4 linked regions of the Rhinolophus ferrumequinum genome follow. The protein of the gene in region 4 binds, or shares a complex with, the protein of the main gene of each other region. Links are inferred from orthologs where the notes say so. Each region holds a gene or a part of one and is shown on either strand. Other genes may lie near its edges.

Region 1 (7,255 bases), on a different chromosome or scaffold from region 4:
GTATGACCATCTGTCTTTTACTGATGAGGAAACTGAGGCTGAAAGAGATTAAGGGTATTCAACAAATAAATGGTAGGACTCAGATTTGAACTCAGTGGGGCTCCAAATTCCCATCACACCAAACTCCCTCCCAAGATGCAAGGCCCACACAGTCTAGGTCACTCAGTGGTCATTTCCTCCACCATCAGAAAGCTACAACTCACAAACATGCAACCTCTGGATAAATACCTGGGTGTTTGAGTTCTTAAGGGCAGCAATTTCCTCAAGGTTCCTCAGATTCTGCTAATAATCATTTATTCCATGAATTAAATAAGGGTCTTTCTATACCACTTATCTACTTAATCCTCAGGCATATTTCAAATACTCCCTTCTCCACTCCCTCACCTGGAAGGTCTATCATCTGTGGGGTTGTATTCACCATCATCCAGCGTACCATCTTCATACAAGGTACTGGCTATGACCAATCGGAACTTGTCACCTGAAAATAATGGTAATATCTGAGGGTGAAGAACAGCTGAAATGACAAAAAGTCTTCTGCTATTGTCTGTGTTCAATACTTACCCAAGTCAACAGGGTAAATCTGAATGTTTACATCTAAGATAAGGTCCATCTTGAAAGATTCACTCTCACAATGCAGTCGAGACACTAGAGGGAAGCAGAGGAAGAGAGGCAGAGGTAATTGCCTGCAGACCCCACTTTGGGGGACCATATGCAACAGAACACTCAATCTAACACAGTGTGCTTCCACTGGCCTCTCATCTGCTCTCACAGAAGTTCAGGCTCAATTAGAACCAAACAGGCAATAAGGAGAGAAAACTATGACCAGTGGGCATAATCCCCAGAAATGAATCAAAGGTCCTCTGGCGATAAATAATATCCAGATTCTAAGCCTGCCTTGGTGATTAAGAAACAACCTGACTTTGGGAAAGTTATTCATTCATCCAAAGGTTTTGTCTTTCTGTGCCAGGTGCTGTGCAGAGGGGATTATCAGAAGTGTAAGAACTGGTGTTGTCTTGAAGTACATCTCAGTCTCTAGGCAAAGGAAGAGACACCAGAAACAATTATAGATCAATGACAGAATAAAGAGCTACTCTTTATTTTTCCAAGCAGTCAACTGTAAATCAGAGAGGACTTCACAAAGAGCTAAAGACTCTAAGGGCAATACAAGAATATAGGTTCCGGAGTCGGATAACTCGCTGTGCAGCTAGCTCTTAGAGCAAAAAGGGTGAGACGCCACCTACTCATGGAGGCTCTTGAAACGAATAAGTAAGACAAAATGTGTATAAGGTGCACCATACAGCGCCTAGCACAGAGTGGGTAGCGATTAGAAAGATGCCCAGGAGTTTACTAGCACCACGCGAAAAGGCCACGCAGGAAGAGGGCACAACATGTATGAACCCAGAGAGAGTTCGGAGTTTCACTTTTCTCATCTATAAAACGTTTTCTAAGAGAGGTCGTACATCAGGACCTGCCGTTAGGGGCAGACCACGTGAGTTAGGTGGACCAAAGGCACAGGGACGTGTCCCCAAGGACGAGGTTAGCCCCTAACCCCAAACTGCCCTACATACCTTACCTACCTCGGTCAAACTTCTTGCCCTCCGGGTCAATGTCTTTTACATCAAAAATATCCTCAAATAGGATGCCCGCCATGGTGAAAGGGCCACGAGAGCAGCACAAGGGCTTAGCGCGCGACCACGACTAAGAGTACGTGCACCCACTCGCGTGGAGGAAAGAAGAGGGGAAAACGCAGCGCCTGAAAAGCAGCAGTCAGAGAATACAACAACGCATGCGCACCGACAAGCAGTAAGACGGCCACTTCCGTCGCCTGGCTCTCGGGGCTTCCTAACTTCCGCCCCGAACAATTGCTTCAGTGTTGAGGGCGGGTCTCAAGTTCAAATAACTCCGCCCTAGGGCGGGATGACGGTAGGTCCCACCTCTGGCCGAGGTGGCGCGTTTTCTCACTCTCTGCTGAAGCTCTACTGCGCCCTCTTTAGAATCCCAGTAGGGAAGACTGGAATGCCTGGGGGCCTACGCCAGCCAGGGACCTTGATCCTTGGCCCAGAGGAGCCCGGCCCTAGCCCTACCCTGCCGGTCCGCGTGCCCGCCGAGGGCACAGTCCGCGCCAAGGGAGGGCGGAGCAGAACCCCGCCCCCAGAGCGCTGGCCCAGCAGGGCGCAGTACCCAACCCCTCCAGCTGGTACTAAGGCCCCCCAGGCCGGCCCGGGCCGGCTCTGCCCAGCTGGATGTCACCTGAGCTGAGTCCTTTCAAGTTTGGGAATTTGCCATGATGTCACTAAGGGGAAGAGGAAAGCCTGCACTGTCCCTTCCCCTGGAACCGCACCCTCCCCCACTGCTCTCTTCCCCCACGCCGCCCTCTCAGCCTTGTATTGACCCCAACACGCTACGCTCCTGAACACTGTACCTCCAGCTTGGTACCGCCCGTTCACCCACCAACGCCCTCTCCCTCTGGACACTGATCTATGTGCCTTTTCATCCTGGCACTGTCCTCTCCCACAGGTACTCTTCCCTTACATAGTCCCTTCCTCTAGAGAGCTGGCTCCTCTCACTGACCCCTTCGTGGGCAGTGCCCCCTCCTCCGGGGCACCACCTCTGCCTCCCACATGCCCCTTCATCCTGGTACTGCCTCCTGCCGCACACTGTCTGTTCTCAGACACTATCTCACACACACAGTCCATCCACCCTGTGCTCACCCCACCCTCTGCTCTATCCTTCTCTGGACCCTGATAGAGAACGCAGAGCCCCAACAGGCCGTTCCCCTCAGGCAGCGAGACGTCAGCAGCTACTCGGGTTTCTCCTTGGGCCCTGCCAGGGAGAAGCGACCTCTGTCCCCTCACGCCCGCCTCCCAGGAGCCGCCTCTCCGGCACCTAGACCTCCCTTTCCTCAGGCTCACTTTTTCCCTCCCTACCTCCAATCACCGGCCCCCTGGCCCCCCGCATCCCTCTGCAGGCCAGGTTGCTCCAGGTGCACCTCCCTGGGGCAGCCGCGGGGGGGGGGGGGGAAGGAGGGAGAGGATGAGAGAGACCGAGGGTCTCAGCTCCGAGCATTCCACACCCCCCTAGGGCCCCCCTCCACGGGCCTAGCGTTCCCCTCCGAGTCCCCGCAGCTTTGCTTCTCACCCCGGGCGGAGCAGCGGCGCATCAGAGCCGCTGGCCCCTCGGGAGAAGCAAGAGAGCCACTCTAGAGAGAAAACTGGGCCCGAAGAGAGTCTGATTTAGACGGCTCTGCCGTCCTCCGCCCCAAGCCGAGCCCCAGCGTCTCCAGCTCCTCCCGCCAGGGCCGCAGACACCGCCGGGCCCCTGCACGTGCCAGCGGAACCTCCGGGTCTTAGCCTCAGGCCTCCGCGAAGTGGGGGCGCCGGCTCCAGCATTCCTAGCGCCCCCTACCGCCTCTCCCGAGCCCGGGAGGCCGCCCCAACTCAGACCCCCACCAGGCTGGGCCGGTCCCTGTGTATGGGCTGGCGGGCGGAGCACCACGAAGGACACCGCCCTCTGCCCGCCCGCGGAGGAGGGGACGAGAGCGTGAGGCTCTCTGCACTTGGCCGCCCGGGCTGCGGGGACCGGACGGGTACGGGTGCGGGCTCTGCGGGCTGGGAGCCGAGTCCGGGCCGGAGCCCGAGCCGCAGTGGGAGGCCCGAGGGCTGTGCGCGGAGATGGCGGCCGCCCCGGCCGCCGCGGCAGAGGAAGGGATGGAGCCGCGGGCGCTGCAGTACGAGCAGACCCTGGTAAGTGAAGCCGAGCCGAGCTCTGAAGTGTACGCTCCAGAACTGCTGCTTCGGGTTACCCTTGGAAGCGCGAGGACCGGGGGCCTATCCAAACCTCACCCCAGCCTTCTGAGCTGGGGAAACTGAGGCTGAAGGGCTAAGGGGTGGAAAACTGCATGCAGGTTTCTGGCTGAGGCTGGGGACCTGCATAGGACAAGGACATCAGGTACTTGTTCCAGGTGTCCTTCCCTTTACCTCCCCCCCACGTTTTCTTTGCTCCTCCCCCTCGCCACCTGAGCCGTCTCAGCACCCCACTACTCCTCCCCAGCACTGCTCACACTGTTGAACTTTCTCTCTTTACGTTCTTATCTCCACCATCCATTACATGCCCTCTGTTTCCAGTAAGTGCATTTCACTGTGCTAGGCATCAGGAGTGTTTCTATATGCAGAAAGATGATCAGACCCAAATCTAGACCCAGGCCCTTCCTTTGCAGGCTGGCAACCCAGCATTGGCAGGAACCCCTCAGTCTATTCCCTGGAACAAAGGTGGCCTGCCACCCTAGGGGACAGGAGCTTTAGGGAGGATGGGTCAAGCAGGAATGGATGTGGGAATTGGGACCTTTGTCCACGCTCACTCTTGAGTAGCCAGCCCCCACCCACCCCAGGGGTGTGCCTTGACCTCCTTAGAAGCAGGGGTCCTGGGGCTCAGAGCTGACTCATGGCCACCACTGTAACTTAGTGTTTGAGAAGACTTTTGCCCCTTCTTGTAGTCACTGGAGTGGGGGACCCAAACTGTTGGGAAGGGAGTGGGCCCTGTGTCTCCTTTGTAACAGCTGGTCCTGGAATTTGCCCAGGAAGGAGTCTGGGAGGGAACCTCTCCAGGAGGAGGGGGCCTGGGCTGTAATTGAGGCTGGGAGTTGCCCAGTTAAGAGAGGGAGTGACTGGATGGAACAGGATGACAGGGAGAGGTGGCAGGGGTGGGGGTGGAGCAAGGGTAGAGGGGCAAGCCTTCACATGGGGGGGAGGTGTCTGTCCGTCTGCACAGGCTGAGAGTGGGGCATTGGTCACGGAAGCCAGGCACCTGGCTCTGAAATGGTGTCTATCTGTTGCACCAGCACATCTCCATCTCCTTCGCCTGGGTCTCTATCTCTGGAATGAGTTCCCAGGGTCAAGCTCTCGCCCGGGCACTCTCTGCTCCGGTCTCTCCCCCTTCTCCTCCCAATCCCTTTGTCTTTCTCTCACAGGCTCACCTCCCAGCTCCAACCAACAGTGTTTATCTGCCTCTTTATACTCCACTTTCTTTCTCTCCCTTCCTCCTCCCTTCTTCCTCTTTCTTCCCTGCACCTTCCCCTGGCCTCTCTTTCCTCCTTTTCTCCTCCCTGATTCCCTCTCTTCCCTTTCCTTGCTCGCTCTCTCTCTCTCTCTCTCTCTCTCTCTCTCTCTGTCCCTATCTTTCCCTCCCTCCCCACCCCCTGTCCCAACAGGAGCCCTTGTGTCCTGAAGCTCTGCGGGTGGCAGCCGGAATCTACTCCCCACCCCCCAACACACACCCAGCTTGGCTGGTCTAGCCTTGGCTCAGAGACGCTCCCACCCCATCACCCCAGCATCCGCAGTCACAGCCTGGCCACAGCTTCTTCTGTCCCCCTCACCCACCACTGGACTCAGGGCAGCTCCAGAGTGGACTGAGGCCACCAAGTACTGTCCACCTACCCAGAGAGACTTTCTACTCCTAGCTGGGCTGGCAAAGTGGTGGGGGGTGGGGGTGGAGAATGGGAACAAGGGGATTAGGGTAGGTGGGAGGGGTGCAGCTGAGTGGGTCACAGGCCAGAGGCCTGGCAGGAACGTGATAAGGATTGGGGCCCCGCCTGCTCCTAGGCCCAACTCAGCTGCCCCCAGCTCCTTAAGGCCCTTATTGTTACCCATATGCCCTTGACCATCCCTTATTCTCTGACATTCCCTCCTCCCACTTTCAGACTGTGTTAGGTTTTTCCATCTTTCCTCCTCTGGGGCCTTCCCTCCCACTCCTCCTCAGTGAGAAGAGGACTGATTATTTTGCCACCCCCTAGAGCTGTGTTCCTGTACCTTGGCTGTCCCATCACTCAGGCCAGGACAGCCCCCACAGTCTGCAATGTGCATTGTTCCCACACCCCAAGCCAAAGTGGGGAGTGTGGGTTCAAGAGGTGGTATATAATGTGGGGACTGGGAGAAGGGGAGCTGAGGCTCCAGGGGCCCTCCCTGCATCCCCCTCAGCCCACACATGTCTGCTAACCCCCATCTTTCCCATTGCTCAGATGTATGGCCGGTATACCCAGGACCTCGGGGCCTTTGCCAAAGAGGAAGCTGCTCGGATCCGCCTAGGAGGGCCTGAGCCCTGGAGGGGTCCACTGTCCCCGCGGGTTCCCCCAGAGCTCCTGGAATATGGACAGAGCCGTTGTGCCCGGTGCCGCAGTGAGACCTGGGTTGGGGCAGGGGATCTGGCTGTACTGTGCTGAGGGGGATGGAGGCCATTCTAGCTGGGGGGACAGGGGTAGGAGCACTTTGGTGACAGCCCACCATTCTTCCCTTCCTGCTCCCAGTCTGTTCCGTACGCTGTCATAAGTTCCTAGTGTCCAGAGTTGGTGAAGACTGGATCTTCCTGGTCCTGCTGGGGCTCCTCATGGCACTGGTCAGCTGGGCCATGGATTATGCCATCGCTGCCTGTCTGCAGGGTGAGGACAAGGGCTGGCAGCAGGAGGGCTGGGAAGCACCATTCTGCTTCCTCTGTGCCACACTTGTCCAAGTATTTGGCTCCTTGGCCAGCTTGAATGCCCATCTTCAGACATAATCACTGCCACTTCCATAAGCCACAACTTCTTGCCTCCGCTCTCCAACTGACCCTCTTACCTACAATGATCTCTGTCCCAGTGAAGGCTCTCTAGGGCCGCCTCCCTGCTCCGCGTACCGAGGTTCTGTATGATATTCCCTGGACAGTGCATCATATCAGTATGTCCCAGTGGCCAGGCGGGCACTGGGTATGCACACCAGGGGTCTGGCAACATGTCCTCTCCCCACAGCTCAGCAGTGGATGTCCCGGGGCTTGAACACCAGCCTCTTCCTCCAGTACCTGGCCTGGGTCACCTATCCTGTCGTCCTCATCACATTCTCAGCGGGATTCACACAGATCCTGGCTCCTCAGGCTGTTGGTACAGTAGGAGAGGAGGGGAGGGCAGAGGTGGAACCCCCTGAAATGGGCACATCAAATAACTCTCCTGGGACTGTACCCACTCCAGGGTCCGGCATCCCTGAGATGAAGACCATCTTGCGGGGTGTGGTGCTAAAGGAATACCTCACCCTCAAGACCTTTGTAGCAAAGGTCATTGGGCTGACCTGTGCTCTGGGCAGCGGGATGCCCCTTGGCAAAGAGGTAACTGCAGGTTGGGGAATGAAAGAGGCCCTCCTGGTGGAGGAAGAAGCCAGGGCAGGGTCGGGCTGTGCCCCTTCCCCACTCACTGCCTGCCCCCACCTCCCAGGGCCCTTTTGTGCATATAGCAAGC
Region 2 (7,900 bases), on a different chromosome or scaffold from region 4:
CCCACTGAAATCAGCAGGAGAAATCACTAGTAATCTTCTCATAGTAATTACAGCAGTGGACTTAACCATGAATGGGAAACCAAAATCCGGACCGTGTCGGCAGGAACAACTAGCAAAAGCCCTTGCTTTGAGTGAGGGGCTGTTTAAGGGCTTCTCATATGTTAACTCACTGGACTCTCTTAAAACCTCTACTTAAAACTTCTATTGTTTTTCTGGTTTTACAAAGTGGAAACAGAGGCAGAGAGGTTACAAAACTTGACCAAGTTCACACACTGGGTAACAGTGGAGATGGGATTTTATCCCCCACAATCTGATTACAATCTGTATGGTAACAGACTTTCCAAAATGGGGCAATAAAGGAAGAAAAGGGAAACAAAGTATACTGAGTTGTTTTTACAAGACAGGTATATACTGTATCTTAAAGTCTGAAACAATGAAACAGTGACTTGAAAGACAAGTCATGTTTTGTTGTTTATCTGTTTTACTGTTTTAGCATTGGAGAAACATGAGAGTTGCCGGCTTTCCCAACTTTGAGGCTACTGACATTTTGGACTTGATAATTCATTGTTGTGGAGAATTTTATTTAAACAGCACCCTTGTCATCTACTCATTACACGCCAGTAACACACGTCCGTTCCTCCTGTTGTGACAACCAAAAATGTCTCCAGTTTATCACCAAATAAAAGGGGTCAGAACTGCCCCTGGTTGAGAACCACTAGGTTAAAGTAAGAATGGATCAGAGAGAGAGAGTAAGTTCTAAAGGATGGCATAGGATCAAACAAAAGTGCAAACTAACAGCTGTTAGTTTGGTAATGATCAAACACAAAATTAATTACCTTTATGTCTGGATCTGACAACTGGTTCTTCAATAACTCATAGTCATTTGTTTCACCCTTAACAAGAAAAGGGGAAAAATGAAGTTTTACTTGCTGTGGTTTCCGGTTAAAGATCAACAGCAGGACTTTTAACTATGCCTAACATCTGATAAAATTACAATAGGGACACTGTAACTTCCACACATCAATTGTGGATTGTAAAATCATCGACTACAAAATTTAAAAACCCATGTTAGTGGAGTTAGGGGACTTGGAAAAAAGCAAATGACAATTAAAAAGCATTTATATTTCAGTATACTTGTGCACTGACATTTGAATATGATTGTCGGTACTTCAAGATATTATCCACTCACATGTATGAATATAAATGCATATGACATAAAATAGTCACATGTCAATTATGACTCAATTTAAATACAATAAGTCATTCGCAGTTTTCCTCCATTACTGAGATTTACAAGAATCACTTCTAAGCTAACACAAACCCCCCCCCAAAAATCCATATTAATAGAGCTGGTTTATTGTCCCAAAGTTAATACTTAGCTAATTCCTTAAGAAATAAAATGCTGTGATCTAATGGTTCTTGAGTCTAGCATTTGCTGAAGTTTTTTAAAGATACCATATAAATGAAGCAGCTGAATAGGTGTAACTTCAGCAAAGAGGTTATTATTCTGAATTTGAGCTGACAGCATCATGCTGTTATTAAATATCTGATTTCAAGATGGGTATCTAAAAATTCATCTTATTATGTCAACTCATCTTTGGTATAAGACCTATAATTGTATTCTGACAAAAATGAACCTCAGTATGTCAATTATATCTCAATAAAGCTGGGGGGAAAACACCAAACCTCACATATTATCTACTCTTACCTTTTTGTACTTCAGCAAGACTTCTGTTACAGTTCCACCAAACCGAACAGTTTTTCTTGGGGGAGAGTTGAAGAAATCACTCTCTAATGTAAGCATATCTGAAATCCTGTACAACCAAGATTATCAAGCTATTAAATGTATGACAGAGGATGATAAAAATCGTAATAGTCAACATTTTTGAACCATTATCATTCAGTGGGACAACTCTAAAGCCTCTTAACTGGCCTCCCTGCTTCCACTCTTATCCCCCAACAATCCTCACAAACAAAAACCAAACCTCAATATATCAATTATCTCAATAAAGCTGGCGAGGATGGGCAGGGGGTTGGGGGGGGCAGGGGGGCAACACACCAAACCTCATGTGCTCCTTCTAGTAACGCCTCTCTCTCCTATTAGAACTCCACTCAGAGATCTAATGATCTTTCAGAAACTTAGAACAGATCATGCTGTTATTAAATATCTGCTCTCTTGATTAAACTCTCCAAGTTTCCTGCCTCACTTAGAACGTTGTGTCTTTAGATAAATTACTGTCTCCAGTGTCTAACACAATAGGTAGGCACTTAATAAATACTATGAAACATATTATGCTAAGTGTTTTACATAGTTTGCTTCTTTTAAATAGAGCAGATTAGGAGGAAAAAATGAATGCCATCCTACTAATGACTCAAAGTTAAGCCCCAGTGTTTTATGGGGGTTAGGGGCTTTAAAGTTGAACAAGCTAAAAAAAAAAAAAAAAAAAAAAAAAAAAAAGCGTGTCGGAGCAAATTTCAAACAAAAACAGTTAAGATTCAATTTGCCATCAGTGATAGCATTCGGCTGATAAATAATCCAAATAGCCCGGAGAATTCTTTCCCAATCTAGACGAAGAAGCGGGAGGGAAGAGTAAAGGAGCAGAATGCAGAACCCAGGCCTGGGACGCCATGAAGGACCCCAGTGGGGAGAAAAAGGGGACTCTGGAACACAGAACAGATTCATTTCTCCAGATCCTTTCTCACCTTTGGTATCCACTTAAGGGGCACGGGCTTACTCTTCAGAACCTGAGACGACCCTCTACCCTCTGCTCCCACCCCACTCCATTAGCGCTGTCCCAGGCTCTGTAAGATCCGCTTCTCTAATCCCGGTCCTGGCCTTTCGTCCCAGCCGCGCAGAAGAAGCGACTCGGAGTCTTACCCAGTTCTCGATGACCCCAACGTCTTGACCGCAGAGGCCGAAGCGGCCGCATCCCCGGGCAACCGCGTGTGAAGTACTGGGGCCGCCATTGGGCCTGATAAGTGCGACAACCTCACCTCGCGACCGGAAGTCGTTCTCGTCCTAGTACCGCCTCTGTCCCGGAAGCGGCCTTCAGCCAATCAGGAAGCCCACGTGTGGAGAGCGTAGGGAACTCGAAGGCTAGAGCGCCGCAAACGTTTTCTTCCCCCATCCCTATTTGGTCCCTTCTCCTATTTGGAGGACTGCCTCCACTGAGTGAGGTGTGGGGCCTAGAGCGGCCCAAGTCCGCCCTGGGAGAGGAGCGGTCCGTCGGGCTGGCTCTGTCCAATTCTGAGGATCCCAAAAAAAGGGCGGGACACCGGGAGGTGCTAAGCGGTAGCTGAGTTCCTCGAGTAGTTACTTTTTGGATTCAAAGGATCCCTCAATCAAACTGAACAAACTGAAGCTCTGTGATTAACCCAAACCCTCAGAGAGATGGGGCGGACTGGGGATTCGAACTAGGCTGCTCGACCCAGAATCTGGGGCTCTGTACCCACTGCACTATCTTCACAGACACCCAAGATTATCTTATCCTCACGGAAACAGACTTAGACAAGGGACTTACCTAAAAAACCTCAGAGCTGTGGTGCTGCTGGGATGAGAAATAAAATAGAGGAGGCAGTTTCCAAAGAGGCGTTAACCCTTGAACTTAAAATTAGGAGCCAGACCAACAAAGCAGGGAAGGGTGTTCCAGGCATAGGGAACAGCACGTGGCAAGGCATGGGTGCTGGGGAGGCAGAAGGAAAGAGGGACTGCCCCTCCCCTCAATTTCTAAGAGGGGAAAATGTTTCAACCTCTGTACAGAACTATCAAAAAATACATTATCCCAGCTATAACAACTTGTTAAATATAAAGCACTCTTCTGTTTTGCAATGGTATAAAATGGTATAAAATCAGTAACTGTCTTTCTCCTGTCTCCATATGGTTCCACTATTTCTTCCCTCACTGCTTGAGAGTTCCTGTGGAATGTTGGGTAACCATCATCATCATCATCCCAGGAGTAGAGGAAATTGCAGCCTAGATCACAAAGATGCTTCAAGACAGCAGTTTAAGGAGGCATCTCTTCCCCTCCACCCTCAGAGGAAAAAAAAAATTAAATCACAGTTCATTGACACTCTCATACACTGTCAATAGAAGTTTAACCTGTACTGCCAAGCAATTTGACAATTACTTTATTCTTTCATTTTTAAAGTCTGTCATGTATAAAAGAATGTTAATGTAAACTTAAAAACACAATAAAATGAAAACCTGTGATGTACCACCCAATGTATGAAATAACATTAACCTGTATTATTGAAGCTTCCTGTGTGCTCCCAAATCCCACCGTCTCCCTGCTTCTTCCCAAAAGTAATCACTACTCCGATTTAAAAAATAATTTAAACTTGTCTTTATGTAATTACCATATAGTCCTAAACAATATACTATTTACTTTTGCTTGGTTTTTAATTTGATAAAATTATTTCCATGCTATATTATACTAGTTTTCAATTAATAGTTTCTAGAATCCATCTGTCATATGTAGTTATATTTCATTTTCTCTGCCATATGACATTCCATTATATGACTATACCATGAATTATATCACCATTTTCCTATCACCAACATTTCAATTGTTTTCTTTCTCCCCTCTCCCATTATGTACATTGCTATGAATACTCTTGTACAATCTCCTGAACCATGTGTGCAAGAGTATTTTTAGGGTACAATTGTAGGCTTGGAGGGTATATAAGAAACAAAGAGCTTTCCAAAGTTGTGCCAATATACACTCCCAGCATTATGTTCTCCATAAGCTTGAACACAGGTCCTTCTTTATTTTCCCAAAGCATGGCTAAGACTCGGTTGCCACGTTTAAAAATTTTTTGAATGGAAGCTTAAGCTTCCAAGAAAAATCTTAAAACTAAATAGCATAATTCACTGTTGGAATTCTTTGGTCAGGTCCCTTCATTGGGGATCCTCTACTCAGTTACCCAGTTTTATGGGCAAACTCACCTTGACAGAATAAAAACCTCCTTTATTCTCTCTTGCCTTTCCCAGAGTCCCAACTCTTTCTGTCACAGGGTCAAATCAATGAAAATACAGAGCCCCTGCCAAAAACAAAAACAATAAAGCAAAGATGCCGCCTAGCCCACCATGCTGTCATCCTTTTGCCTCATGGTGCATTACAGTTGTTCGTGACTGTTCTGAGCTTCTTCATTCCAGAATGAATTTCTGCTTTACTTTCATATACCCAGAAGACCCATTAAACTGTTTTTTTTTTCCCAAAAGGGCAGTCTTCCCCCTAGAGATGAATTTTACAGTCACCCCTAGAGTAGTTGTGTTGGTTAAAGCTTCTTGGCTTGAAAGTAACAGAAACTATCCCAAGCTAGCTTAAGCATAAAAAGGAAAATCTGTTCTAAGGACATGAGGATAGCTTAAGGCACCAGAAAAAGAATTTCTCACTGGCCAAGTTTGGGGCAGGTGCCCTTCTCTAACCTAGAGAAGTGAGGTCATTGGACCAAATGGCTGCTAATGAATCTTTGCTGTGGATGAGAGGATCACTATAAATGTTCAACCAATGTTTTTCAAAAAGTTGAACGTAGGGAGGATCCAGATCAACAATTGCTAAATAAAAAATAGTAGATGTCCCATTTGTTCCTTTCCTCTTTCCAAAGAGTCAATGATTGTTTTATGAGCCAATTATTATAAAAACTTTATTCATTAATCAAAGATCTCAACAGTGAAGATGTGTTTGTGTATACATACATACGTGTGTGTATATATATATATATCCTATATATATGTGTGTGTGTGTATATATATGTATACACACACACACACATATATACACGTTTGTGTGTGTGTATCCTCTCTAAAGGCCATTAATTTAGTGCCTTCCTTATCCCAGTATTACAGAGAACTATAAAAGAGAGCTTCTCAACCTTGGTACTACTGATATTTTGGGCCAGATAATGCTTTATGAGGGGAGCAGGTTGTCCTGTGCATTGTATAATGTTTGGCAGTATCTCTGGATTCTATCCACCAGGTGACAGTAGCATAACCCCTCTCCCCATTGTGACAAGCAAAAATGTCTCCAGACATTACCAATGTCCCCTGAGCAGCAATATCGCCAAAATTAAGAACCACTGGTATAAAGCATAGCCTTAGTAAATTTTCAGTCCAACTGAAGACACAAAACATATTTGCAACAATTAGAGAACAAAAAAGTAAAACATAATATATGAAATTATATGGTGAACAGCCATAACATTTCCATTTTTATCTTTAATATTTTGGGGGGAACATAGGAAAAAATCACTTACTATTTTATTTTGTTGGAAAACAATGGTGGCAATATACAAGATCCTCATGCTGTTTAATGCTTATTTGGAATGTTTTTCAGATTTTTACCAGGAGGATGCTACAGAGAAAAGTACCTTAATTCTTCCCCACAGTTCCTCAGACGGCAAATGTATCTAACTTAGAAATCAGTTTTATTTGACTAATTGGTCTGGTAGGCACCACCTAACCTCAGCTTTATCTTTACCTACGGACTTTCAATCTAATAGTAGTTAACATCTACATTCATCTATTCAACAAATATCTACTGAACACCTTCGTCCCAGGCCCTGTGCTAGGCACTGGGTCAGCGAATAATAATAGTAAAGACCCTCGTCTTCATGCAGCTTACTATCTAATGAAAGAACAGGTATCGATTAAATGTAAATTTTACAAATCAAGTCCTTTGAAGGAGATCACATGGTGCTATGTGGTTCTATAACGGGCAGAATTTACCCCTTTAGGGAGCTCAGGGAGGTTCCCTTGAGAAAGTGACAATTGAGCAGAAACCTAAGGGTGAAGGGATCAGGAGGCTGTGAGAGGGGGACAGTGCTTTGAAGGCAGGGAGAAAAGTATGTGCAAGACCCCACAGCAAGAGTAGAGAAGGGATTATCTCTTAAGATTTCAGTTAACAGCCTAGGGTTGAGGTGACAGTTGCTTAGCGGAGGGTGGTGGTGGCTGAGATGAAAAGGATCCATTGAGAAAACAGCCAAAATGGGGTTCCTGAAATAAATGAACGACTGTTTGAGGACCCTTTAGTAATACTAATACTCATTCCTTCTCCCTCTTTACAGTCAAATTAGTCCTTTTGCAAAGCAGGACAAAACGATGCAGCAATCTAAGCTGAGTGGATGTTAAGTTTCAGAGGAAGTGATTTATAATGTAACAGCAAGTCCCCATGGTATAATCCAATTATGGTACTGGAAATGTTTCTCCATACTAAATCGTTCCACTAAAAATTTACTTCTGTAACAGAGGATAAACAAAGCCTTAGGACTGAATTAGTTATATGGTCCATTTCCCCACTGATTAAAATAGGACGGCAAACACATACGGTGGGATACAAAGCACATTAAGGAACAATGGCATGGTAGGAGGAGGATTAGACTCTTGAGCGATGTGCCTTGACCTAGCTCACAGCTAGGTCACCTTCTCAGCCCAACTCAGAAACAAGAACCAGAAAAATATTCTCGGACTGATCAAACCAGACTACTGCTGAAATGAGTTGAGTTCTTAATTACTGCCCATTTCTACTTTCCCAAAAGTACTACGTGACTTTGTTAATCATAACTAATGGCCCAATGCCATTTTGTGCCACAAAGTCAAGCAGTGGGAGATCTTAAGCTGATGGGGAATTCACATGGGATTTGTGGACTGTAGTATTGGAAGCCTTAGTCATACCACATACAGCCTCTAACTGCACTCAGAATGGAAATGACTTCTGCGGAGACGGAATTGTTTTGATGTCCCATGAAGTACCTACCACTTAGTATGAACTAAATTAAAAAGGAATTGAATTTAATCACTTTTTAGTAACTCCAGTTTTAGAAGTCTTGCATAAGACCAAAGGGAAAAATGAGACTCTTTGAACTCTGTTATTTTGTTTTTCACTGTCACTATCTCCAGCCT
Region 3 (8,083 bases), on a different chromosome or scaffold from region 4:
GCCAGGGTCCCAGGGATCTGGGGAAGAGTGAGGTCGAGGAAGAGGTCTGTCCCAGGGACTGGGAAGGGCCCAGGCGACTGGACATACCCAAGGAGCCTGGGGGTGGAGGGCATTAGCAGGGGGTGGGAAGGTCTCAGGATGGGTGGACTGGGGGAGAGAAGCGACGGGGCAGCAGGTTGGGAGGGGGCCCTGAGGATCAAGACCCTTACCAGGACCAGGTGGCAGCACAGGAAGGGGCCCAGGGGTGTCTGGCTCCCAGAACAGGCCCTTGGCCAAGGGCAGCACCCTATTCTGTGGAAAACACAACCATGACAACAATGCTTCTGGGACAGGTGTCGTCGCCAGCACTTGTCTTTTATTAACTCATTCAACCCTCACAAGGAGCCTGCCGAGTTGATACAACAGTCATCGTCACTTTACTGATGAAGAAATGCAGACACAGGGAAGCTGTCACTTGCCCGAGGTGACACCCAGTAAAGAGAAGGCCAAGTGAAGGCTCTCTCTCCCTGCCATCCTTACCTCGGAGTTCTGGGGCAGGGACTCTGGCAAGGTCAGTGCATCTCTCCAGCTGCACATGAAGGACGTGTCAGGGACATCGCTCAGACCAAGTGGGCCGGTCATAAACAACGTGGGGCGGAGGGAGCTGGGGAAATCCATCCTAGAAAATAAGAACCACACGTCACACTGGCATTCTCAAAGGCCTGAATCTGACCAATAGCCTCCAGAGTGAAAAGTGCCCTCAGAGGAGTATACTTCTTTGAAGGAGCAGATAATGAAGAACAAATGAGTATGTAGCCAACTGCCAGAGACTAGGAAGTACTGTATTAAAACCAACCAACCAACCATGAGGGAGGGGATGGCGATAGGCCAAGGGTGTGCTTTTAGCCATGGAAGCCAGGGAAAGACTTGTTGAGAAGGTGGCTTTTGGCATGGCCTGAACCTACCGAGGAAGAGAACCACAGACAACAGGGAAGAGGGTTTCTGGCAGAATGAACAGCAAGTACAAGAGTCCTAGGGCAGGAAGTGTTTGGGAAACAAGTAGGAGGCCATCCAATGAACAAGAAGAGTGGCCAGTGGCAAAGGATGAAGACAGGTGGCAAGGGGTCAGCTTCCATCATAGCTCTTAGGTATTATAATCACGTATTTGTAAGCTACGCGCCCTACACTCCAGGCTACACTCCCAGGAGTAACTCAAGTTCCCCCAAGCCAGGCACTGAGTCTTATTTGTCTGTCTTAACCACTGTCAAGTATAGTATCTTCCAGAAAACACATTATGTGTTGAATAAAAATAAGTTCAGTGAAAGGGCTTTGCTACATACAAAGTGCTCTAGAAGTACAAGTAGCCACATCATCCCTCTTTTTCTTTTTTACTAACAGCACAAATCACAGCAGCGCTCACTCACTGAGTGTAAACATCTGCCAAACACAGGACGACATGTGTTAGCCTTCTAGTCTCCCTATTTTGGAGTTTAGGAAATTGTGGCTCAGGAAGGAGCCACTTGCCCAAGGCCAGCAGCTTCCCCCATCCAATTCACAGTCCAACTTCTGCACCGCCACTGTCCTGTGCATCCCAAAGCAAACACGAGCATTCGGGTCTTCGTATGCACAAATCTTTTCCCGTGGAACCGCTGCTGCATTTTATCAGCTGATTCTGTAAGCTCCGTACATCCACGTATCCTCAGGACCACGCCAAGTGTCCATCACACAGTAACTACTTGTCAAACTTGTCCAGCAAGTCAGCCTCATCCCAGCGGTATAGTCTTATCTCTTCCGCTAGACTGCAAGCCCTCTGAGGGCAGGGTCTGTATCTCATGCATTCCTGGGTTATTGGTGCCTGGCTGCTGCTGTCATTCCCTTTAACGTGACCAGAGAGAACAGTGGAAGGAATCAAGAAGATGCTCAGTGAGTCCTTGTGAAAAACACTGGCTGCCATAGGAGGGACTGTACCGACGGCAGTGAAAAAGCTCCCTCTCAGAGGCGGCTGCGTCCCTGATACATCAGTGTGAGCATGTCTCTGGGTTGTCTCTGGTTCCTGGGCTCCAATCACACTGACCTCCTCTAGGTTCTTCCTCACCAGGCTTTTCACCACAGGGTCTCTGCACACTGTCGCTCTGCTTGAAGCGATTGCCAGGGTCCTTCCGGTCTACCGACAAAATCCTACTCAACATCCTACTTGACAAAATCATCCTTCAGATTTCCAGTCAGGAAGTTCTCCCAGTTCCCTCAACGCCATCCTCCCACGATACTCTGCATGCTTTCTCCAGAGCACGCACTGCAACGTGTAATTACATAATTAAAGATGTCACTGTTTGATTAAAAAGCGGGAGAGGGATTTTATCCCCAGGGCCTTGGTGTTTGCTACACGGTAACAATCAGCACCAGTAAGCTGAAAGAACAAATCCAGGGATGAATGAACAACAGGGTAGTCAGGGGTTCACATAGCCGGAGCCTGTACCTGGGGAGAACAACCTTGAGCCCCATCCCCTGGCCAATAAGCAACAATGAGCAAACAGAGCCATAATCACAGGAGAGATAAGCAGGCTCAGGAAAAGCGTCTAAAGTTGTACATGCACATTAGTGAAAAGAGCTGTCCTATAGTTAACTTTTCTTCATTCGAATACGAAAAAGCACTCTGCTAGGCAGAGTCTTAAGATGCTAGCATGAAGTAGCACGTAGGTACACTGCACAGGTGCATGTAGGACCCACTTCAACATACTTTGGGGAGGGAGACGAGAAAGAGGAAGCAGTGGCCTCCAGCCCCAAGAGTCTATGAAAACCGCTGTGACTGTAAACTCCGTGAGCTCTATGCTCTTCTCTATTGGAGTGTGCTCCCGTGGTGCATCAAACTCTCGCTTTAATAAACCTTTCTCTCTGCAAAATTTTCGCCCACTGTCTTGATTTCTATTCCGAGAAGGGCAAGGACCCGTTACAAGTTACCGGGCGCCGGTAACCTGAGAATCCAACAGCCTCAAACAAACCCAGGCAGCCCGAGGGTGTTGGTGGAGCCCGCGACCTCAGGAAAGCCTCTAGAAAAGGCAACCTCAACTTCCCAGCCTCACCTGAGGCTCTCCAGGCCTCCTCGGACCTCCAAGGCCGCGTTACTGCCACGCGGGACTCGCAGGAAGTGGGCCTGTAGCAGGAGATGGGTGAAGGGATCCGGACGGTCCCTCCCCTCATGCATCTACTTGGCCACGTCCTCCCTACTCATCTCTTCCAACTCCCACCTCCAGGCCCTAGAATTTCAACAGCAAAGGACTCTCATCAAACGCTGTACACCAGACAGCTTGGGGAGCGTGGACTCGCGCGGAGAGCAGACCCGAGCTTTCTTCTCGGCCCCGGCACCCCTCTTCCTGCCGTCCAGCAGGGCGCGCGCACTTACGTGGCCCGGGCCTCGCGGAGCTCGTCTGAGACATGGACCTCCACGTGACGCTCGCCTGACCCTCGTGACACGAGGGAGCCCAAAGCAACACCCTAGCTCCAGCAAACACCGATGAATCAACCTCACAACGGTAATTAACGGTCTTCCGGACCTAGCCGGAAGTGCTCCCTCGAAGCAGGAAGTCCCGCCTCCCAGCCTGGCCTTACGGGCGCCCCAGAGCGCCACCTTCCGGGAGGAGGGGGAATGGGAGTGGAAGTGGTGCTGTGGGCAGTAGAAATAAAACCTCAAGTCCCGATAGTGAAGGCCACGTTGAGGAGAGTTCGAATTCCACCTCTGTTTAATTAACGTCCTATTTTGCAGGATTGTTTTAAGTATTAAATGTATTCCCTCAGCAAACACTTTCTGGGCACCCACGATGAGGCACTGTATTAGTCAGTAGGAATCCTAATGATTCCTTATATCCTATGTCCTTATATCCTATGAAGTAGGCTTTACATATAGGTGTACAGATAACTCTGGGGATGCATGAGTTTTCCCCAATGGTCAGGCAAGTATAGCTTTAGGCATTGATTCTCAAATTATGGCGTGCATCAACATCACCTGGAGGACATGTTAGAACATAGTTCCTGATTCAGGGAGGCTGGGGTAGGACCTCATAATTTGAGTTCCTAAGTTCCCAGATGATGATTCTGCTTGCTTAGGGGCCAAGTTTAATATAAGACCCAGTATTATATTGTATTATATTATACCCAGTATTATATTATAATTATACCTGGCCTTATATTATATAAGACCCGGTCTTATTTTACTATAAATAAGTATTTATTTTACTATAAATTTTACTTATTTTACTATATTTTACTTATTTTACTATAATTTTTGCTCCAAAAGACGCATTAGAGCTGATTGTCCAGCTAGGTCTTATTTTCGGGGAAGCACGGTAGTAGCTCTCAAACTTGATCATGTATCAGAATCTCCTGGAGGTCTTGTTAAAACAGCTTGTTGGGCCCCACCCCAGAGTTTCCAGTTTTGTAGATCTGGGATGGATCCAAGAATTTGCATTTTTAATGAGTTCCCAGGTGATGCTCACGCTTCTGGTCCAGGCACCACACTTTGAGAACCATTTAAAGAATCAATTTCCAGAATCTTGGCTTACATCTATAGTATATTAATAGTTTTTATCTGGGAGATGTTTGGAATCAGATGATTCCCTTTTTGCATCTCCCCTTTCACGATTACTTTTTTCCCCACTTTGTAGTACTGCCCAAGATGGGCACTGAACAAGGAGGGCGATTCCAAAAAGTTGCTTTCCTGCAAGAGAGTCCCTGTGAGACTAAGAAAAGCAGGTTCAGTAAGAAGTAATGATGGACGGGTGCAGGAAGGAGAATTTTGGGGGCTGACAATATTTTGTTTGTTCATCTGAATACTGGTTACATGGATATGTTCAGTGTGTGAAAATTCATCAAAAGATTTATGCACTTTTCTGTACATACTATGTTATACTTCACTAAAGAGTCTTTTAAAAACAGAAGAAAAGAAGAAAATATTGCTGGCCGTGATGCTATCTCATTGAGATGTTAACTTCTTGGTTAGGCTAAGGGCTTTCCCAGCTACCTATCTCAGAAATAGAATTTAGAAGTCACTCTAGGAGGGTGGGAATTCTTCTGTCTGTGCTGGTCACCAGTGTATCCCAAACAACTAGAAGAGTAGATGCTTGATAAATATTTGAATCAATGAAATGAGATGGTTCTTCTGAGAAAATATCAACACATTTATTTAAGTTGAATAAACAAAGTCAGACTGTTTCTAACAAAGAGTAAGTCTGATTTAGGTGAGTGGTTTGACTATGAGAGTAGGCTTTGCCAGTTAGATCATTTGGAGAGCGTTTTTCATAAATGAAATAGGCTCAGTCTGCATCTCTATGGTTTTGATAAAATATACTGGAAGGATTATTATAATAAATAATAAGTTAAAAATTGCTCCTTTTGTAATTATTTAAACTTGTGACTAAAATATTTGGGATAGTTTTTAAAAACTATTTTATGGGTATGCATGCAAAAAAATTGAAGACTATATTAGTTTCCTTTTGCTGCTGTAACTAATTACCACAAATTGAGTGGCTTAAAACAACCCAATATCATACAGTTCTGGAGGTCAGAAGCCTGAAATGGGTCTCACTAGGCTAAAATCAAGGTGTTAGCAGGGCTGTGTTCCTTTCTGAAGGCTCTAAGGGAGAACCAGGTTTTTTTGTTTGTTTGTTTGTTTGTCTGTTTGCCTTTTCCAGCTTCTGATAGTTGCCTGAATTCCTTGGTTCATGGCCCCCTTCCGTCTATAAAGCCAGCAATGGCCAGTTGAGGCTTTCTGGTGATGCCATTTCTGATTTTGACTCTCTGTCTCCGTCTTCCCTATTAAACGATGCTTGTGATTACACGGACCTACCCAGATAATCCAGGATAATTGCCCTATCTTAAATTCAGCTGATTAGAAACCTTAATTCCATCTGCAACCTTAATTCCCCTTTGCCATATGACGCAACATATTAATAGACCGTGGGGATCAGGACCTGGACATCTTTGAGAAACTATTCTTTCACTTTCCACTCTTACGAGCCACCCATCCAGCTTCTGCACTGGGAGGTCAATTCCATTTCTTCCTTCTTTCCTTTCTCTAAACAAGCTGTTATGTTTCCTTTTGTTACTGCGTATTACTTAACATGCAGTAAAGTGCACAAGTCTTAAGTATACAACTCATTGAGTTTTTACATACATGTAAACTTAAGACAACCACTACCTAGCTTAAGACAGAGAATATTTCCATCTCTCCAGAAAATTCCTTGGTGCCACTTTCCAGTCAATATCCCCTTCAAGAAGTAACCACGATTCTGACTCTTACCACCATAAATTAATTTTGCCGGTTCAAGAACTTTACATAAATAAGATCATGCAGAAGGTACTCCTTTGAGTCTGGCTTCTTTCATTTGTCAACTGAAAAATAATATGACTAGGTGTCTCATCACCAAAAAAAGATTTGGGAAAAAGAAGGGTTGTAACCCAGGGCATGTGAGTATGGCAAGCCATGTGCACACTCTGGCCTGCATGCCAAGATGGAGGAGTATTTAGAGACGGGAAAAGGAAGTTAATGGAAGGGGAAGTTAGAACTATGGAGCTTTACCATAAACATAGACTTCTTCCTGTAGGGTTCTGATGTGTGGGATTCTTGCAATTACATAGAGTGCAAGAACTTCCAGAAGCCCTAGCTCCTCCCATAGCTCCTCTTCACTGATTATGTTGGCTTAAAGTTCCACTTCGTCTTTTATCACATTTAACATGCCCATGAGATTTACCCATGTTGTGCAGTAGTTTCTTTTTTTTATTTTTTTTCATTACTGAGTAATAGTCCATTGTATGACTATATCACCATGTGTTCATGCAATTTCCTGTTGGTGACCTTTCTGGGTTTCGCAACTCTGTTCAAGTCTCTTTGTGGATATGGGTCGCCATCATTCCCTTTCTGAACACTGCTGTGCTGGGCCTAATTCTGCTCTTTGAACTATACCCCAAAACCAGAATGGTTCTTCCTGCTGCCAATCCTTGAAATGTTTGGGAGGTTGAATCTACTCTTCCTCCCACATCTACTCTTTCCAAGTTAAACAGTCCTGGTTCCACCACCTGCTCCGTATATGCCCCAGATCACACACAGCAGCAATCCTGGTCAGCGTTGTCAGACCCAAAGGTAGCATCTCCAGCAACACTGGGACACGTCTTAGAGACTGTGAACTGAGTAACTGGTCGGGTTTTCCCCAGCACCGGCTCCTATAAGACTCGGTTAAATTTGTGGCCCCCTTCATGCTATTGTGTTCTGCATCATAGCAGGCCATATGAAAATTGCCTTTATCCCTAATTTCATCTTAATTTTGTTATTTCTCCTTCATTCCTACTCCCTCATCTTAAAGAATGGCTGTCTTGTGGTATTTTTATGACCAACTCAAAATCCCTTCTGAAGAACAAAAGGACAGGGTGCCAAATATTTAATTTTGGCTAAGGAACACTTCCAGTTGGCTTCAGGAAGGCGTACAGTTTACAGTTTTTAAATGTAAATCCTGACTATGCCGTGGGATTGTTTCAATTGAGAACACTTTTATTTATTGGATGAGAATCCCCAAGCTCAGCTAAGTGGCTAGGGGCGGGCTGCTGTGATGGCTGTGGCTTGGGGCATCCTTGTGCGGAAGCCATATAAGATGCGGGACTTGGGTCCCCAGACATCTTCCCTAGTCTTCGCTTCCCCAGGACCACCTAAGGGCGAAGAGGCTGCTAGGAGAGGCCCCACGCCTCTCCAATCACCACACCCGAAGCTCTGCACCTGAAGTGGGATGTCCACTCTATCCACATCCAAGCTTCAGCTGTCCAGGAGACTGGCCTTCCCATTGGTTGAGAGCACTGTCTGCCACACCTCTGCGGGCTCTCATTGCCAGCAGCGAAGAGGGGGCGGAGCTTGCAACGTGCTGTAGGATGCACCGCGTGATCCCCACGCGGAAGCCAGCTGGCGCGTGTAAAACGGCGCGGGCGGCGCAAGATTAAGATCGGCCCACTGTCCCCTCAGGTCCTCACGTCCAGCCATGGCTTCAGCGGCCCCAGGCGCCGAAGAAAGTGGCCGCAGGAGACACCGTCTGGCCGCTTCATTGCAGATCAGCCCCCGGCCCAGGCC
Region 4 (7,348 bases):
ACCGGATCCGGATTCCCGCCGCCCCCCCTCTCGGGCTCCCGACGCCGTCCCCGCCCGCTTGGGCGGACGAGCAGCCGGAGAGAAGCGGCCTAGGCTGCCCCCCGCCCCCGAGCCACTCACCCCGGCTAGAGGCGCCGCCGCAGCCCAGCCACCCCGACGCGCACGGAGGAACCCGGCGCAGAGGCGCGACCACGGCGGGAACCGCCGCCTCCTCCCTCGAGCTTGCGGCCCAGCCCCGCCGGCGCCCCCGCCCCGGCCTCCGGGGAGCCGAGCCAAGGAGAGGGCGGGAGGATGGCGGCCCGGAGGCGGGGGCGCAGCGCTCACCGGCCCCGATGCCCCCTCCGGCGGCCGTGGAGAACTACGCCTGCCGGCTCGGAGAAGCGCGGGCTTCTCCGCCCGCGGCCCGGGCTCCGCTCGGGCCTCGCTTCCTGCCCTCCCCTCCCCCGGCTCTCGGCGTCCTCTCCAGTGCCCTGGTTCTCCCTCGCCCAGTTCCCTGTCCGGGGGTCGACCCGGGCCCTTTCCGTGCGTCCACTGCAACCGCGGTTCGCTCCCTGCCTCCTGGCCCCGACCCCGGCGCGCGTCCCAAGCCGCCTGGGTTACCCGATGCAGCGCGGCCTCCGGGCTTCCCGCTCCGGCGGCTCCCTCCCCGGCTCTGAGCGGCGGCGCCCTCCCCCGCTCGGCCGGGCACAGCCGCAGCTCCCTCCCGCGGCGGCAGCGGCTCCTCCTCCGGGCGCGGCGGCGGCGCTGGGGCGGCGGCTGCTGCTGCTGCTGTGGCGGCGGCGGCTGTGGCTGCTGCCTGCTGCTCCTCGCGGCGAAAAGCACAAAGCACAGCGCCCTCCGCCTGCAGGCAGCCCGCCCGCCGCCCGCCCGCCGGCCCCGGCCTCAGCTCGCACACCCCCCGCCGCCGCCGCAGCCTCCGCCGCCGGAGCGGGGAGGAGGAGGAGGGAGAAGGGAGGAGGAGGAGCGGGAGGGGGGGCGGGAGAAGCGGGGCAGCGAGCGCGTCCTTCCCCGTGGAGCGCACACCGACCCCCGGGGAGCGAGCGCTAGCCCGCCCGCCTCGCCGGCTCCGCTCCCTCCCACAGCCTGCCCGGGCGGGCTCCGCGGGGGGCAGCTGGGAGGAGGGGCGGGAGCTGGGGGGACCCGGGCGGCCGAGGCGGAGGGAAGGAAGGAGGGGAGGGGGGTGGTGGTAGTGGTGGTGGTGGCGGTGGCGGCTGCTGCTGCCGCCGGGGAGGGGGGGGGCCGGGGCAGGGAGACACGCAGCCGCCCGGATGGCGGCGGGGTCGGAGCCGAGGCAGGCGGGCGGGCGCCGAGAGCGACCTCGCCAGACCCGCGGGGGAACTAGCAGGCTCGACCGGCGCGGAAGGGAGGGCGCAAGGCGCGGCCGCAGAGAGGGTGCCCGGAGGGCCTCCCGGCGGCCGGGGAGGCTCGGGGGGTGTCCACGGCCCTGCTCCGGAGCTCTCCCCCTAAGTCCTCCCAGTTCAGATGCGGGCTTCCACGCCAGCTTTCGCCCGCTCCCCTCTCCCGCCTCCCGGAACGGACGGTCCGCGTCCACCCTCATTCCCGGAGCACGGCCACCGGTTTGGGGCGCACGCACGCGGATCGCGCGGCGCAAGGCTTCGGCGCCTACCTCGCGGTCCCCTTGATACCGAGCAGCACACACAGGAAACTTAAAAAAAAAAAAATTTACCCCCACAAAATGCCCTGCCTGCAAATTAAAAAAAAAAAAATCCCTTTGCTCCTTACACCTGGGAAAGGGCGAGGGGGTGACGGGCTCCGGCGGCGGAGCCTCGGGGCCGGTTCAATCCAGCCCGGCATGACTCCTCAGGCCTGCCTGGGCGCATGGAGATCGGCGCCGCCGCCACTCGCAGCAACCCTTCTCCCCCGAAATCGCGGCGCCGGGGCTCACTTACCCAGCGTGTGAATGGGAGCGCGGGCCAGGGGCACCTAGGGGTGCGGCGGGCCGAAAAGCCGAGCCGTAGCTCCGCCGCAGCTGACTCCGGGGCAGTGAGTCGCCAGACAAAGCCCGAGATGGCGAAGCGGAGCGACGGCTAATGGCGAGCCCCACGCGCCGCGCTCCGCCCGCCCCGCTCCGCCCGCCCGCCCGCCCGCCTCGGCGCAGCGCGGCGCCGCTCCGAGCGCTCGCCCGTCAGAGCCGCCTCGGCGCCGCCGCCTCCCCGGCCACCACGGCCTCTCCTGGCCCCTCCGCCTCCTCGGGGCGGCTCAGCCTCACCCTTTCCCTCCCACCGCGCTCGGGGATCCACGAAAATAAAGGAAAAGAAAAATGCTTTTTCTTTTCTTTCCTTTTTTTTTTTTGGTTGGCCGGGCGGGCGTGTTGAGACTTTTGGGTCTTTTGCCCCCAGCTCGCACTCACCTGCGGAGCCGCCGGGAGGGCTGGGGGTGGGGGCTCGCGGGGCTGGAGCCGGCGAGCGCGGGTTGAAAGCTAGCCAAGCTCTGCAGCGCCCGACCCGGGCGTGTACGCCGCCGCCAGTCCCCGCAGAGAAATCGTCCTCCTACCCCCGCCTCCATCGCTCTGCGTTTCTCTTCCAATCAGCCGGTCGCTTGGCGGCTCCTCCATTCTCCGGCCAAGCCCGCTGCCTAGAGCGAGCTCCACTCCATCTGCTCGCCTGGCTCCTCGCTCCCCTGCCGGGGCCGGCGAGGCGACGTGGGGCCGGAGGGGGATTTGCGAGGGAACCTGCCTGATTCCCGCTCCCATTGCTCCCTCCCCGCCGCCTCCTGCTTCTCTCCTGCGTCTTTCCAACTCTCCCTTGTCGCCACTGGTGTGTGTCTGTGTGCGCATTTTTTTTTTTTATTGCTCTTTGCTTTTGCAACCCTGAAGCCAAAGCGGAGGGGGGGAGAGCAATGGGAGGGGGGGTATTACAAAAAAAAAGAAAGCTCTTAGGTTTGCAACACATTGAAAAACTGGGGGAGCACCCGGCCTGGTCCGATCTCGGTGCCCCGCGAGGGCCTTCCGGGTTTTAGAGCGAGTCTTTCGTCGTTCTCAATGCCCCTCACCTCCGCCGGCTTTAGGATCCGAGGAGTCCGAGCAAAAAGTTCTCCCCCTGGGCCGTAGCAAGGGGTGTCAGGGTGGGAGTTGGGATTTCTCTAGAAGCGGCAGCCATCCCTCGCACCCCGGCTTCGGTAGCTGGGCCGGGGTGGGGGTGGAAAGCAAAATCCCGGTGGGTTTTCGAACGGGGCTTCCCCGGCAAAGTCGGAGCCTGGAGACCGCGCTGCGTGCATCTCCCTCTCGGTCTCTGCCTCCTGTCCCCTGCCAGCTCCCCCTTTAATTTTTTTTTTCCCCCTCTCCTTTAATCTAATTTCTTCCAACTCCACCTTTGTTGTTAACCGGCGTCACGCCAGGATCAGCCAATCCCCGCCACGCAATCAGCTTGTCAAAAAGCCTTGGCCAGCCCTGGGAAAGCAGGCCGCGGGCGCTGTCCCCCCGCCCCCGCTCCCCGCTCCCCGCTCCCGCCAGCGGCAGGGAGCCGCGAGGGGAACCTGGCACCCGGGCCTCTCTGCCCAGAATCGCAGCGGGGCTGCCTCCGCCTAGGCCTCCCGCGGTCCAGCATCCTGCGGCCCGGGAATTGAAAGGTCTGGGCGGGGACCACGATCCACTCTCCCACTCCCGTCGGCTGTGGTTGTCTCTTTCTGTCTTCCCTCCTCAGAGGAAGGTTTATCGGGACGCAGGGAGCCAGAAGACTGTCTGAAAAATGCTTCCAACAGGCATGCCTACTGGCTGGGCCACCGCTCCCAGGGCAGCGCCATTGCTCGTGTTCCCCGGCCGCCAGTCAACCTCACCAACACTGCTCCTGACCATATCTCGGCCAGCTGGTTCACCAGCCCCTTTGGACTCCCCTGGCAAACAGCCTTCTCCATCCTCACACAACGAAGGGCCTCACTGCTGCTGTAATTCCTTCTGTCTCCTGGGAGACATGAAATTCCTTTCCCAGGACTTCCACAGCCCACATCTGCCACGTTTCACAAACAGGGAGGAAAACCCTGTCAAGATCTGGTGTGTCCCGATTATTTAGTGGGCAGGGCCTGTAGGAGAGGCCGATTTACCGTAATGCTAATGGAGCTGAAGCTTTAGGGCTCCTCATTTGCAGGGCTCATCCAAGGCCCTGTACTTAATTTTGACTCATCACTCGGTACTTTTGTTAGAGACCCCCTTGCCCCGCCCGCCCGCTTTTTTTTTTTTTTTTTTTCACAAGTTTCAGCCCCAGAAACCCAGCTGTGCCCTTGGAACATACACAGGGTATTTTGTGTGGGATCAAGCCATCTCACAAAGATTGACTTTCTTGTTTTGACTGGGAAATAGCAAAAGATTTGGAGTCAGAAGTCCCAGCTTCCCAACATCTCAGCTTCCCCACCTTGTTAATAGTGTTGTGAATCTGATCAAATCTGTTAACCTCACTTGATCCCAGTTTCCTTATCTATAAAATTAGAATAGCAATCCTACATTCTCTGCTTTCCTCACCAGGGTTGGACAATCAAGCAAGATGATATATGTAAAACTGTAAAATTCTCAACAATGTCACTTGCCACAATTACAGTAAGAGAAACTTAGACCCCAAGAAAGTTCCAAGTCCTCCACATGCAGGTCTGGAGTCCAGGTATCCTGGCTCCTGGCCCTGAACTTCTTGGCCAGGACACAGCCTTTCGGTAAAGTGCTTTGGAATAAAACAGGATGAACGTAAATCATAAGAATGATTATTATTGATTTTTCATTCCTTGGGCATCAAAAATCATGGCTGGCACTCTTCCCACTTGGAAACTGATTGGCTTGTTTTACATCTATTGTGTCTCTGGTGAGGTCAAGAGCTTCGGACTTGGGCTCTGGGCCAGAGCATGAGGGAATCTGCCCTTGGTCCTTTTTCTTTGCCTCATCTCCCAATTCATCCTCCCCTCCCTTCCAGTTTTCTGCCCTGTGCCTTGGAGCAGAGCTTCAGCATTCCACAACCCCAGCCCAGGCTGGTGACAAGGCATAATCCTAGCTGCAAGCTTTCTCGGCCCCAGACCTTCCCTGAGTTGCCAGGATTCCAGCACCAGGTCATATAAAACCCCTAGTGTGCCTGGAATGCGTTAACCCAAGTGTGGTACTTTAAATCCTAGTGTCTGTGGAATAATTTTAGATGGTGTACAGATGAATATATTATTTTCAAAGTTATGTGTTTTAATGTATCTTGGAAATGTTTTTAAATTTTTATTTAAGATAGTGACATACAGACTTCTTCCGGTCTTTTTTTTTATGGGCAGAAGGGAAGCTACTATCCCTTATTTATTTATTTTTATTTTTTAAATTGAGGTAGAACTTACAGATAATAAAATATACACATCTTAAGTGATTGTATTGATTAATTTTTACATATGTATACATAGTATACATGTCATATATGTCTCTCTTTCTCTACACACACACACACACACACACACACACACACACACATCATGTAACCACCACCCAGATCAAGATGTTGACTATTTCTAGCATTTAGCAAGCCCACTCAAAGTCAATGTTCCCCTCCAAATGTCACCAGTATTCTGAGCTCTATTGCCATAAATAAGTTTAGCCTATTTTTGGAGTTCATGTACATGGATGGAATCATACAGTATGTACTCTTTTACATCTGACCTCTCGCTCAACATTGTGTTTGAGATTAATTTATGATGCATATAGTTTGTTCCTTTTCACTGCTATATAGTATTCCACTATATAAATATATCACAATTTATTCTTTTATATCTAATGGGTATTTGAGTTGTTTCCAGTTTTTTACTATTATGGATGAAGCTGCTTCAAACATTCTTGTGCATACTTTTTGGTGTATATATGCATTCATTCCTCCTGGGTATATTTCCAGGAATGGAATTCTTGGATTAGGATGTAAGTGCCTATATTAGACATTAATAGATATTGCCAGTGTTTTTGGATTTTGGCCATTAGAATAATTGTGTAGTGATATCTCATTGTTTTAATTTGCAAATATTTTTTACCAGTCTGTGGCTTGTCTTCTCATTCTCTTGATAGTATCTTTCACAAAGAAGAACTTTTTTATTTTAATGAAGTCCAGTTTATCAATTATATCTTTCATGCTCCTGGTGTTGTATCTAAAAAGTCATCGCCACACCCAAGGTCACCTTCTGTATTTCCCTTAAAATAAGACCTACCCTGAAAATAAGCCCCAGTTAAGATTGTCAGCCAAACGGACACATTTAGTATGTCATAACGATGTTCCAGAAGATGACGTGACTGTATTTGAATAAATGTAGATTGTTGTACATGAAAAAATAAGACATCCCCTGAAAATATGCCCTAATGTGTCTTTTGGAGCAAAAATTAATATAAGACCCAGTCTTATTTTCAGGGAAATATGGTATAAGACCCAGTCTTATTTTCGGGGAAACGTGTTAGGTTTTCTTCTATGTTATCTTCTAGGAGTTTTATAGTTTTGTGATTTACATTTAGGTCTGTGATCCATTTTGAGTTAGTTTTTGTGTGTGTGTGAAGGATATAAGATCTTTGTTTATTTTACTTTATTTTTTTGCACGAGCATGTCCAGTTGTTTCAGCACCATTTGTTGAAAAACAATTTTCTTTGCTCCATTGTATGGCGTTTGTTCCTTTGTCGAAGATCAGTTGACTGTATTAATGTGGGTCTATTTCTGGGCTCTCTATTACGTTCCATTGTTCTCTTTGTCCATTCTTTCGTCAATACCACACTATCTTGATTACTGTAGCTTTAACATATGTCTTGAAGTTGAGTAGTGTCAGTCCTCCAACTTTGTTCTTCTTCAATATTGTATTGGCTATTCTGGGTCTTTTGCCACTGCACATAAACTTTAGAATCAATTTATTGCTATCCATAAAACAACGTGATGGGACTTTTTTTTTTTTTTTAAGATTTTTTGGGGAAAGGGAACAGGACTTTACTGGGGAACTGTGCACTTCCAGGCCTTTTTTCCAAGGCAAGTTGTTGTCCTTTCAATCTTAGTTGTGGAGGGTGCCGTTCAGCTTCAAATTGTTGTCCTTTCAGTCTTAGTTGTGGAGAACGCAGCTTAGCCCCAGGTCCAGTTGCCATTTCTAGTTGCAGGGGGCACAGCCCACCATCCCTTGCGGGGGAGTCCAACTGGCAACCTTGTGGTTGAGAGCCCACTGGCCCATGTGGGAATCGAACCGGCAGTCTTCGGAGTTAGGAGCATGGAGCTCTAACAGCCTGAGTCACCAAGCCGGCCCCATGATGGGATTTTTTATTGAGATTGCTTTGAATCTATAGATGAAAATGGCAAGAGCTGGTATCTTGACAATATTGAGTTTTCCTAGCAATGAACATGGAACTCTCTCCATTTATTTA

What was found.
Region 1: UBTF (region 4) and POLR2H share a complex: the UniProt entries of both Homo sapiens proteins name them as parts of the pol I pre-initiation complex. The link is inferred for Rhinolophus ferrumequinum from reciprocal best matches to the Homo sapiens genes UBTF and POLR2H.
Region 2: UBTF (region 4) and RRN3 share a complex: the UniProt entries of both Homo sapiens proteins name them as parts of the pol I pre-initiation complex. The link is inferred for Rhinolophus ferrumequinum from reciprocal best matches to the Homo sapiens genes UBTF and RRN3.
Region 3: UBTF (region 4) and TAF1C share a complex: the UniProt entries of both Homo sapiens proteins name them as parts of the pol I pre-initiation complex. The link is inferred for Rhinolophus ferrumequinum from reciprocal best matches to the Homo sapiens genes UBTF and TAF1C.

The regions. Positions count from the first base shown.
Region 1 is NC_046285.1:60,795,132-60,802,386, forward strand, and holds the start of POLR2H (DNA-directed RNA polymerases I, II, and III subunit RPABC3), read right to left. Parts: upstream 3,364-7,255; 5' UTR 3,161-3,363; coding exon of another isoform or gene 3,139-3,160; intron 2,336-3,138; exon of another isoform or gene 1,754-2,335; 5' UTR 1,651-1,753; coding exon 1,578-1,650; exon of another isoform or gene 1,569-1,577; intron 646-1,568; coding exon 562-645; intron 479-561; coding exon 385-478; intron 1-384. UniProt on the Homo sapiens protein: DNA-dependent RNA polymerase catalyzes the transcription of DNA into RNA using the four ribonucleoside triphosphates as substrates.
Region 2 is NW_022680357.1:13,155,009-13,162,908, reverse strand, and holds the start of RRN3 (RNA polymerase I-specific transcription initiation factor RRN3), read right to left. Parts: upstream 3,039-7,900; 5' UTR 2,968-3,038; coding exon 2,879-2,967; intron 1,815-2,878; coding exon 1,709-1,814; intron 894-1,708; coding exon 837-893; intron 1-836. UniProt on the Homo sapiens protein: Required for efficient transcription initiation by RNA polymerase I (Pol I). Required for the formation of the competent pre-initiation complex (PIC).
Region 3 is NC_046298.1:29,691,460-29,699,542, forward strand, and holds the start of TAF1C (TATA box-binding protein-associated factor RNA polymerase I subunit C), read right to left. Parts: upstream 3,347-8,083; 5' UTR 3,182-3,346; coding exon 3,060-3,181; intron 659-3,059; coding exon 520-658; intron 292-519; coding exon 210-291; intron 18-209; coding exon 1-17. Other genes in the region: ADAD2 (adenosine deaminase domain-containing protein 2), read left to right, coding at 7,995-8,083. UniProt on the Homo sapiens protein: Component of the transcription factor SL1/TIF-IB complex, which is involved in the assembly of the PIC (pre-initiation complex) during RNA polymerase I-dependent transcription.
Region 4 is NC_046304.1:39,309,878-39,317,225, forward strand, and holds the start of UBTF (nucleolar transcription factor 1), read right to left. Parts: upstream 3,271-7,348; 5' UTR 2,372-3,270; intron 2,094-2,371; exon of another isoform or gene 1,911-2,093; intron 823-1,910; exon of another isoform or gene 601-822; intron 492-600; exon of another isoform or gene 121-491; intron 1-120. UniProt on the Homo sapiens protein: Recognizes the ribosomal RNA gene promoter and activates transcription mediated by RNA polymerase I (Pol I) through cooperative interactions with the transcription factor SL1/TIF-IB complex.